Callithrix jacchus: one gene and its partner. Each later gene encodes a partner of the first gene's protein in a complex. Links are inferred from orthologs where the notes say so. Each region holds a gene or a part of one and is shown on either strand. Other genes may lie near its edges.

Region 1 (4,985 bases):
GTGGCATAATCTTGCCTCACTGCAACCTCCGCCTTCTGGGTTCAAGCGATTCTCCTGCCTCAAGCCTCCCAAGTAGCTGGGATTACAGGCATATACCACCATGCCCAGCTAATTTTTAGTAGAGATGGGGTTTCACCATGTTGGCCAGCCTGGTCTCAAACTCATGACCTCAAATCACCCACCTCGGTCTCCTAAAGTGTAGGAATTACAGGCATGAGCCACCGCGCCCAGCCTTTCTTTTCTTGTTTTGTTTTTTTAATAAAGATGGGATTTCACCATGATGGCCAGGCTGGTCTTGAACTCCTGACCTCAGGTGATCCAGCCACCTCGGCCTCCCAAAGTGCTAGGATTACAGGCATGAGCCACCACACCTGGCCTCTTTTTTTTTTTTTTTTTTTAAGGCAGACTCTTGCTCCATCGCTCAGGCTGGAGTGCCGTGGTGCGATCTTGGCTCACTGCAACCTCTGCTGCCCAGGTTCAAGCGATTCTCCTGCCTTAGTCTCCTGATTAGCTGAGACTACAGGTATGTACCACCATGCCCAGCTAATTTTTGTATTTTTCATTGAGGCAGGGTTTCACCATGTTGGCCAGGCTGATCTGAAACTCTTGACCTCAGGTGATTCGCCTGCCTCAGCCTCCCAAAGTGTTAAGATTACAGGCGTGAGCCACTGCACCCAGCCCACTTTTTTTTTTTTTGGTCTGAGACAGGGTTTGACTCTCTTCAGTCAGGTTGGAGTACAATGATGCAATCTCTGCTCACTGTAACCACCTCCTGGGCTCAAGTGATTCTCCTGACTTAGCCACCTAAGTAGCTGGGATTATGGGCATATGCCACTGCTTCTGGATGATTTTTTGTATTTTTTGTAGAGACAAGCTTTTACTACATTGGCCAGGCTGGTCATGAACTCCTGAGCTCAAGTGATCTGCCCGCCTTGGCCTCTCAAACTGCTGGGATTACAGGCGTGAACCACTGCACCCAGCCTGTGCTCCAGACTTTGAATGCACCTCTTGTCTGGGACCCTTTAGATGAGGGCTCTAGTGCTATCCCCACCACATTCAGGGGCCTGTGTGACCACACTCTGGATTTCTCAAACGCATGCCCGCTGCATTTATCTGCTCACAAACGTAGCCCACATGTTCCTGAGTGTTGCAAGGAGTGCCACTCCTTGCGTACTGGCACCAAGTTCCACTGTGCCGATGCTGCACGTTCATTGTATAACAGCACCCTCATTGTGGCCTTGGGAGCAGAGGTTATTATTTGCTCTTTTTCGTGTTTTAAAGAGCAGGAGGTCCATGTCCTGTGTGTGAGAGAGAGAGCAAGCGAGTGAGAAAAAAAAAGTGCAGGAAGCCTGGCCAACATTGCCAAGCCCTGTCCCTACTAAAAATACAAAAATTAGCCGGGCGTGGCATGCATCTGTAATCCTAGCTACTCGGGAGGCTGAAGCACTAAAAATACAAAAATTAGCCGGCCGTGGTGGTGCGCACCTGTAATCCCAGTTACTTGGGAGGCTGAAGCACTGAAAATACAAAAATTAACCGGCCGTGGTGGTGCGCACCTGTAATCCCAGCTACTTGGGAGGCTGAAGCAGGGGGATCACTTGAACTTGGGAGGCAGAGGCTGCAGTGAGCTGAGATCATGCTATGTCACTCTAGCCAGAGTGAGACCCTGTCAAAAAAAAACAAAAAACGGGAAATTGAAGTGAAAGAGGGAAGTCACTCGCTAACGGTTACATGGCAGAGACGGAGAGGAGCAGGGACTCCAGTCATGGACTCTGTGCCTCCAGAGCCTGGGTTCTCGGCCCTGATGTTTGTCTGCCTCAGTCCTCAGAGTCAAGCAAGCTTCCTCAAAGCTTACTGTAGGTGCCCTGAAGCCTCTTTTCTTATAAGGGTTTGTTTGGAAAGCAAACCCACTGGGTACCAGGTCTGCACCCTCATAGTGTGGAGACTAAGGAATCAGAACCCCTTCCTGCCCTCGGGGGCCTGTAGCCTGATGGAGGGTCAGTCTGGGCTCTGGCTTCTCTGCCCTAGGGCAGCCGAGATGCACGAAGTCTGTGTGTCTCCAGACCTCCGCACTGTACCTGGTGCTGCAGAGGGCTCTGCACCCCTTAGCTTAATATTCTGTTGGGGAACAAGAAGCAGTTCGAGCCTCTTAGGTGGGAGGTAGGCAGGGAAGCTTTCTCGGAGGCAGGGGCATTTGAGCTAAAGGTAATAGGGTTTCCACAAGGCTGGGGCCTGGTCCTAACCTTCCCTCTGGGCCCCTGCTAAGTCCCTTCAAATGTACAAATTTCTTGCCCTGTGCCGGTGCCACTCTAAAGTGCCGGGAACAAAAGCAACGCAAATCTCGGCCCTCCTGGTGCTGCCATTGTGGGGGAGACAGACAGTAACAAAGATGGAGAGGGAGCACCTGGAGTATGTGGGGGGGGGCGGGGGTCCTGCAGGGAGCAGCCAAGCCAGCAGGGAGTGGGGGACTGTGGCCATCACTAGAGTGACACTGAAGTATGGACCAGAGGTGAGGGAGGGAGCCATGTGGTGTCTTGAGGCAGGTGTGTGCCTGGTGTGTTTGAGGGGCAGGTGTGGGGTGGTTGGAGGTAAAGTCCAGGAGGCGGTGGGAGGGGTGCAGACTGTGCAGGTTGGGTGGGGCCTCAAGGCCTTTGCCTTTAGCAGGAACGTTGACTTTTACTCCGGGTGGGGAGGAGTCTGCTCCTCCTTGGCCTGGCTCCTGTTCATGGAGTTAGCAGTCTGCCCTGTGGGGAACGGATTGGGCAGCATGTGGTGGGCTAGCAAGGCAGCTGCTCGGTAACTTGGGCCTGAGCAGGGTGCTGCTGCAGAGGAAGAGGTGAGGGGTGTCAGGTTCTGAAGGGGAATGGGGGGAAGTTTGGCTTGGAGTCTTCGGCCTGAGCGGTTAGAAGGGTGGAGCTGCTCTCAGCGAGTGGGAGGAGACTTGGGCAGATGCTGGGGGGGGCATCAGGAGCTCAGGTTTTTTCTTTCCCCTCGAAGCCTAGGGCCTGCTGGCTGAGCCGCAGAGCCCTGGGTCACGTGAGTGTGAATGAGTGTGAGTCTCTGCCCCTGCTCACCACCCTCTCATCCTCTGCAGCGGTAGGGGCGGCCTATGCAGCCAAGCGGGCCAACGCCAACAGGGTCGTCATCTGTTACTTCGGCGAGGGGGCGGCCAGTGAGGGGGATGCCCACGCTGGCTTCAACTTTGCTGCCACACTCGAGTGCCCCATCATCTTCTTCTGCCGGAACAATGGCTATGCCATCTCCACACCCACCTCCGAGCAGTACCGTGGCGATGGCATTGGTATGCTGGCCGACCCTCACCCGGCCGGGATCATCTCCTTCCCTCCATTTCCCCACCTTCCTGGTTCTGGTCCTGTGTCCTGTGGCGTCTGGCACCTGGTCGGCCACGGGAGTCGAGGTCCTGAGCCCTCTGCCTTGCTCTCTCCTGCCCTCTCCCTGCTCATCCCCTCAGCCCCATGCATTTTCCTCATCTGAACCCTGGCCTGATCCGCCTTCTCTGTGTCCCCACAGCAGCACGAGGCCCCGGATATGGCATCCTGTCAATCCGTGTGGATGGCAATGATGTGTTTGCTGTGTACAACGCCACAAAGGAGGCCCGACGGCGGGCTGTGGCAGAGAACCAGCCCTTCCTCATCGAGGCCATGACCTACAGGTGCCCACTGCCCCCCCCCCCCGTCAGCTCCCCCAGAGTGCTGGCAGCCACCATGGCATCTTCCGTATATGGATCACCGTCCCCAAAACATGGCCTCATCACCTCACGTGTTGCATCTTCCCCTTGCCTTTATTCTGTTTCCATTCCTCCTTCCCTAGTCCATCCCCTGTCCTCCCTCCTGACCCCCACTCCAGGGAGCCCCACACTGACCTGGGGCCACTTTCCCTTGTGCAGGATCGGGCACCACAGCACCAGTGACGACAGCTCGGCATACCGCTCGGTGGACGAGGTCAATTACTGGGACAAGCAGGACCACCCCATCTCCCGGCTGCGGCACTACCTGCTGAGCCAAGGCTGGTGGGACGAGGAGCAGGAGAAGGCCTGGAGGAAGCAGTCCCGCAAGAAGGTGAGGGCGCCCTGCCGGGAGGGTATGCCAGGGGCTGCTTCGGCCTGCAGAGCTCAGGAAGGATTTACAGGGCACCGAACTAGGGGGCTCAGGAATGACCCTGATGATGTCTCAGATGTAGCCTGTGGAGCCAGGCTGCTGGGGCCACATGTGTCCTGGCTCTGTGTTTTTGGCACGTTGTCCTCCGCTTCTTTGTCCTTGAAGGAGGATGCTGGTGGTGCCCATTTCAGAAACTGATTCGAGGCTAGGCGCAGTGGCTCACACCTGTAATCCCAGCAGTTTGGGAGGCCGAGGCAGGCAGATCACTTGAGGTTGGGAGTTTGAGACCAGCCTGGCTAACATGGTGAAACCCCATCTCTACTAAAAATACAAAAATTAGGGCAGGGTGTGGCGGCTCACGCCTATAATCTTAGCACTTCGGGAGGCCAAGGCAGGTGGATCACCTGAGGTCAGAGATTTGAGACCAGCCTGGCCAACATGGTGAAACCTCATCTCTAATAAAAAAAAATTTAGTCGGGCACAGTGGAGGGTGCCTGTAATCCCAGCTGCTCAGGAGGCTGAGGCATGAGAATCCCTTGAATTTGGGAGGCAGAGCTTACAGTGATCCTCGATGGCACCACTGTATTCCAGCTTGAGCAACAGAGTGATACTACCTCTTTAAAAAAAAAAAAAAAAGCCAGGCGCAGTGGCTCAAGCCTGTAATCCCAGCACTTTGGGAGGCCGAGGCGGGTGGATCACGAGGTTAAGAGATCGAGACCATCCTGGTCAACATGGTGAAACCGCGTCTCTCCTAAAAATACAAAAAATGAGCTGGGCATGGTGGCGTGTGCCTGTAATCCCAGCTACTCGGGAGGCTGAGGCAGAATTTCCTGAACCCAGGAGGCGGAGGTTGCAGTGAGCCGAGAT
Region 2 (6,177 bases), on another chromosome or scaffold:
GGCAAAATTCTAGCAGTCCAAAAAGAGAAATCAGATGAAGACTGAAGGGGCCCGGGGTCTTCCTCAACACCACTGTTCGGGAACATCATAATTACTACTGAGGAGCCCTGGGTAACTGGATGTCATGGGCACCCAAGTTCAGTTTCTTTTCTACACAAATTCAGTTTCTTTCCTTGCTGCTTATGTTGGAAAACTTTCTTCCCAAGCCACAAGCATTATGGGAATAGAAGGAAAGCCATAAATAAGATCCTTTACTCCTCCTTTCATTTGTCAATTTGAGAAACAAATCTTCCAACAGGAATTTCTAGTACTACCAAGCTGCCTAGTCCCCCTGTTGAAAAGAGATATATGTATTAATATGTGGTTAAAATAGGGGCACTACTACAATTTAAGCATCATCTGGTGAAATTGCTAATAGTCAAAAATACAGACAATGTCCCAAACCACATTAATAAACAGGTTAACCCACTGTCATGGTATACTGGAAAACCAGGACAGGCTAAACAACAATGCCAGTCAAAATACAGCTTAAAAAACCCCAGCTATTTATTTTCCCAATTAAAAACAATACCTGATTAAGCTGGAAGCAAGGAAAAGGCCTATCATCCACAGCTGAGGTAGTACTTACTCATGGGCTCTTAAGATCCTGAAGTTCTCCCTACAATGCCCCCACCTTTGCTGTTCTTTTTTTTTGGGGGGGGGGGCCACCTTTGCTGTTCTAAAGCCTTCTGAGGAATACTGGCTACTACAAGACTTCAGAATAATTAATGAGGCTGTTATCTCTGTCCACTCATTGGTCAGATCCATATAATCTCCTGATTCAGGTGCTGGGGATGCTAAATGTTCTCAGTCCTAAACCTAAAAGATGCTTTCTTTTCCATTTCTCTGGCCCCAGAATCCCAATACCTTTTTGCCTTTGAATGGGAAAATCCTAATACCAAAGAAAAACAACAATACACTTAGACAGTACTTCCCCAGGGTTTTCAGGATAGCCCCCTTTTCTTTGCTTGAGCCTTAGAGTGGGATATGAGGGGTCTGCAATTAAGGAATAGGAGTATATTCCACTACACAGATGGCCTTCTTGTGGGTAGCCCAACCCTGGATGAAAATACCACAAAAGCTTTGAATTTCCTGGGAGACAAAGGTACAAAGTGTCCAAAAAGAAGATTCAGATTACCCTCCAACAGGTCCACGATCATATCCTTAGCAGCTAGCAGAGTCTGGCATCCAGAAGAAAATAAAAATACACAGAATGACTGAATAACAAGCTCACATCCATATAATACTCAAGAATCAGGGGCATGGAAAGGCCAGGATGAACTGTTCTCAGAGAACAACACAGTGTAATAAAGGCAGCAAACATACCAGCATAAAGCAGCATCAGTGTCACCTATTCAGAATCTAATCTGACTACCTCCTATTTAAGGAGTACCATTTATATGTCAAAACAACCAAAATAAAAGTATTTGCATCACATGTGAAAAGCAGAAAGTATCTTCAATATTTTTTAATAGACAAAATATTAGTATATAAGTAGCATGGGAGGCTTTGGAGTCAAACACATCACGATTCAAACTCTGGCTTTGCCACTTACCAGACTTGGGCAAGTACTAAAATTTCTGAGCCTCAATTTTCTCATCTTTAAAATGAGCATAATAATATCTAGCTCACAAGGTTACTGTGAGGATTATAAACTGATGTCTAACACAACACCTGGAAAAGAGCAGCTATGCAATAATGGTAGATAGTATTGGTATTGATGGGAAAAATACTGAGTATACTTTTAAAAATATGTAAATGCATCTAATAGTTCTTAATTAAAAATAAATCAAGTTAACAAAAACATAAGAAAATATTCCTCAATGGAAATGAAACAAATAAAAAGTAAAACAAAGTACATTTAGCACAAAATACCCAAGAATGTACATGCACACACCTGATTTTAGCAATTAACATCCAATACTCACACTCATACATATCATGGGGTATAAATTGGAGTATAAATTTGAACTATGCATTAAAAATCCATTAAAACATTCAGGACTCTATCCTAAAGAAATAATCTCAGATACATAAAAGCCATATACATGAAATGCTTATATCTGCATTATTTATAAAATTGCAAAACTGTAACAACAAAAACATAATGATAAGTATTTAATGGTTCCACTTCTGGAGTGAATGATTGATTCTCAGTTGTCAAACACTGTGTTAAGTACTACTACTGTTTTATGTAGCCCTCATAACAACCTTCTGAAGTAAGTACTATTATTAACCCCTTACATTATGAAGAACCTGAGGCGTATAGAGGATAACTCCAAAGTTACAGATAGCCAAAACAAGATCAAACTTAGGACAATTGGATTCCAGGATCAAGATTTTAACTTGTAAAAGAATTGTAGCATCTTTACTCCACAGAACATTTCTTCTAAATTCTCAAGAACATTATAAAAACTACATTCTAGGAAAATGCTTCTGATTAAATAAGTTGTATTTGTATTAAAACTAAAAGTATGGAAAATACTAAACTGAAAGGAAATACCTGTAAGGATACACACCAAAATAAAATGAAAAAAAAAAAAGATACACACCAAAATGTTAGCAATATTTACTGTCATGGGTGGTGATTTTTTTTTTTTACTTTTTCTCCATTATCCAAATTATCTGTAATATGCTTGCATTATTTTTATGATAGGAATAAGCTTATAAACATGGTATCATTTTACTTAGATTTTAGTAAATTTACAACTATGGAAAGGTGGATTAAGAAAACCTGTACTCTATTTCTCAAGTATTAGGCCAAAATTTCTTTGCTTTGAAGACAGAATTCAGGGCTCATTTTGATTGTGGAAAAAAAACCTACTATTAACCTTTATGGTACCTACTGTTACACGAGACACCCTCCTAGTAAATCTACACACATTTTAGTACGTTGTTTAGACTGGAAGTTCTGGAATCTGACCAATTAGATTCAAAAGCTGGAGCTTTGGAGCTACCACTAACTTATCTGTGTAATCTTGGACAAACTGTCTCAAGACTTCCATTAACCTAACTGCAAAACGGGAATAAAAACATTACTAACCTTTTAAGGTCGTCCTAAGCTAAGCCTTAAATGAGATGATGAAACGTACACATAGTGCCTGACCCTGGTAAGCACTCAATAAATCTTCATTCTTATCCACAAGGAAAGACACACTTCCAAAAATGTCAGCTCAAAGTGAGAAGTTATTAGACAAGGAAGCAATACATGTTTCCCTACAATTTCCTGATATTCTGATGAGAAACACTGGATCTTTAGAACATTACATGAAACTTGCAGAAATGGTAAAAATCATGTAATAGTCACACTATGAGGAGTTTGCTACATTTCCTTCCTATGGCTTCCTTCTCCCACCACCTTCACCTCCTTGGCTAAGTGGCAGCAGAGCGCAGGCACAAGCTCAGTATTAAGCTCAAATGGAAAGTCTGGATTCTTTCTCATCTCTAGGTAGAACCTGTTCTGTAACCTTGGGAAAATCAATTCAGTTACTTAGTCTCAGCAGAAAAAAAAAAAAAAAAAAATATATATATATATATATATACACACATGGATATATATGGTTTTTTTGGTTTTTTTCTGTAGATAAGAAAAAACCAAGGGACAAAATAAAAATGAACACTGAATCCTTACTCTATATATATATATATATCACCAAAGCTAATGGCCCAATCCCAGAGAGGCTGGAACACACCTAAGGCCTGAGTTGAGAAAGCAAGGATAGAGGAGAAAGGAAGGGGGGCGTTCCCTGGGCACCACCCCTCCACCCTCAGGCCCTTCCAGACAGCAGCATGCCCTCTCACCCGTCTCAAAGGTGCGGGGGAGCGGGGGCTGCGTCCCGAGGGCGGAACAATGACAAAAATTAGAACAAGAAGTGAATCACAGTTAGACCCTGGGGCAGGGAGGTTCTAGAAGGTAAGGCAGGATTAAGCTGGGATGCAAGGATTGCTGCCTGCCCCTCGCGAGCGTCGGAGAGCCTGGGAGTCTGGGATACAGCGAGACCTGGTGGGCAGTCCCTGGCTCACCGTACTCCCGGGGCTCCGGGTCCGGCTGGAAAGTGAAATGAGCCACCTGCCGCCTCTGAGCCGCATCCTTGCCAGTCGCGGCGGGGTGCAGAAAGCCCCGCGCCAGGCCCGCGCCACAGAGCCGACGCCAGTGCCCCTCAGCCCCTGCCGCCCTGAGCCTGAACAGCCAGCTGGCAGCCGAACCCACAGCCGCCATCCCCGCTTGCCGCCGGGTTTCTCAAGCACTGCAGCCGCTCGCTGCCCGTGGGGAGGGCGGAGTACCCGAGACGGCTTCCACATTGGTCGGGCCAGAGGGGCGTTCCCGTGAAATGGACCAATCGGAACTGGAAATTCCGGGGCGGGGAAGTGGACGTGACGAGACGTCCCGCTTCTTCTCCTTGTGCGCATGCGGAAAATGAGCTTGGTGAGGCGGAGGTGGAGCCAAGGAAATAGTTTCTGGGGTGGAGCCTCCCCGACGTCAGCTGTGCGGGCTTGGCTTGAGGACCGAGTCTGCAAAGTTCCAGACAGTGCCTGGAAGCGATCTTTACTGGTGTCATCTACAGTGCCATTTCCAATGGTTGTTTTCATTTTAAGATCCATACTTTTTTTTTTAATGTAACCCTTTTTTTATCCTCTCCTATTCTGTCTCTATTATTGTGTGAAAGCTGAAGAGAGCTACTGATTGGCATTGGTTATTGGTTTTGACTTTCAGAAAACTGCTGGAGTCACTGCTCAGAGCCTCCACTCCTTATTCACACCCTCCTTTAAATGCTTAATAAGCATATATCAATTTTTATTGATTTTGTTTTTCCAGATTTAAATGAGAGATGAAAGAGGTAAACTTAGATTTCATCCTTCAAATCCACTGAATAGCAATTCAGATACATTTTGCCCAGAAGTAGCGAAAATTACAAGACTGGCTTAGTCTAAGTAGCATTGAAACCTGGAGAATTTAAGCCACTAATTTTTATTTATACTAATCAACTATGTAAATTTGCTTTAATCGAAGTGTTTTACCAGGATACCTTCTCTATGAATATACCAAAAAAACATGAAAAATGTGAGATATTTTAAAATCGAAAATGACAAGAGGCAATCATGACTGTGTACGTCAGATGAAAATGAGTGGGTGGGGAAGGATGGGCCCAAAACAGATTTGAAGAAGAAAGGGAGGAAAAGAACATTCCTCTTCCCTTACACCTGGCCTCTCAACCCCTTTGGTTTTGCACAGGGGCAAGAGAGGAGAGAGTAGAAACTGGGTGAAAGGGAGGGCAGACAGATGTGTTTTCTGACTGAGATTGAAAAACAGCAATTAAAAACTGCCTAAGGTAGAACCAAAATTATGTCTCCATTTTTCCTACTCCCACACTAAGTCCAAAATTTAACATTTGGGAAATTTTTGATCTTGGCTTTTGTTAGTATTCACTTCTGCTGTTTTAATAGTGTGGGTTAGAGTGTTTTGCAAGCTCATGAAGAGTATTTTTGTTTTAATGAAAGAAAGTGGTAACAAAATGAACTTACACTTACATAGTCAAATTTGTGTTTAGAATAGAATAAAGAACAAGGTTAAATATGAATAGAGCTTTTTTTTCTACTTACTGATAGTTAACAGACCTGGGGGTGCTGAGATTACTTAGGTCTGGGAGAAAAACAGAAAAATAGTTTTTCTATTTTTCTACTGATGGGAATCTTATGGAACTCTGCTATATACAAGCCAATGACAAGCCACCATTGAGACAAATAAGATTAAGTCATCGTTTTAGTTTTAAAATGTCCAAGTTGGTAAAAAAAAAAAAAAAGACAGATTAGAGAAAAAAAGAGACAACTACAGTCCAATGTGATAGGGGTCCTAGAATAGTGCAAACAAAGTGAAACACAAAAAGAGCAATAAACTCTTCTTTAAAAGTCAAGTGTTTCCAGAAATAACAGGTCTGAGCCAGACCTAAAAGATGAGTAGAAGGTACCAGGCAGACTAGGGAGGAAAAGGAATTCCAAACTAAGAAAAGACCTGTGCAAAGGCTGATAGGCATGAAGAGCACAGTGCTTTCCAGGAAAAGAAGGTAGCTTGCTGCTCCTAGATTCAGGGAATAGGGAATGATACAGGGTTAACAGAGAAGGTAGAAAAAAACGGATTAA

The links. The genes of interacting proteins can lie anywhere in the genome.
Region 2: the proteins of BCKDHA (region 1) and BCKDHB are in contact, whole or in part, in a crystal structure (PDB 1V16), measured with the Homo sapiens proteins. The link is inferred for Callithrix jacchus from reciprocal best matches to the Homo sapiens genes BCKDHA and BCKDHB. Residues at the interface, in NP_000700.1 of Homo sapiens: Phe155, Leu185, Gly186, Lys187, Arg189, Gln190, Gly196, Cys197, Lys198, Phe202, Val203, Thr204, Ser206, Pro208, Thr211, Pro214, Gln215, Val217, Gly218, Ala219, Tyr221, Ala222, Arg225, Gly244, Asp245, Ala248, Asn251, Phe252, Thr255, Leu256; in NP_000047.1 of Homo sapiens: Pro89, Thr90, Val92, Asp117, Arg118, Phe120, Asn121, Thr122, Pro123, Cys125, Gln127, Gly128, Ile129, Gly131, Phe132, Ile134, Gly135, Ile136, Val138, Thr139, Asp158, Gln159, Asn162, Glu163, Ala165, Tyr167, Arg168, Tyr169, Arg170, Ser171.

The regions. Positions count from the first base shown.
Region 1 is NC_133523.1:36,694,232-36,699,216, forward strand, and holds part of BCKDHA (2-oxoisovalerate dehydrogenase subunit alpha, mitochondrial), read left to right. Parts: intron 1-3,094; coding exon 3,095-3,301; intron 3,302-3,531; coding exon 3,532-3,673; intron 3,674-3,783; exon of another isoform or gene 3,784-3,907; coding exon 3,908-4,079; exon of another isoform or gene 4,080-4,985. UniProt on the Homo sapiens protein: Together with BCKDHB forms the heterotetrameric E1 subunit of the mitochondrial branched-chain alpha-ketoacid dehydrogenase (BCKD) complex.
Region 2 is NC_133505.1:85,556,533-85,562,709, reverse strand, and holds the start of BCKDHB (2-oxoisovalerate dehydrogenase subunit beta, mitochondrial), read right to left. Parts: upstream 4,282-6,177; 5' UTR 4,259-4,281; coding exon 4,063-4,258; intron 1-4,062. UniProt on the Homo sapiens protein: Together with BCKDHA forms the heterotetrameric E1 subunit of the mitochondrial branched-chain alpha-ketoacid dehydrogenase (BCKD) complex.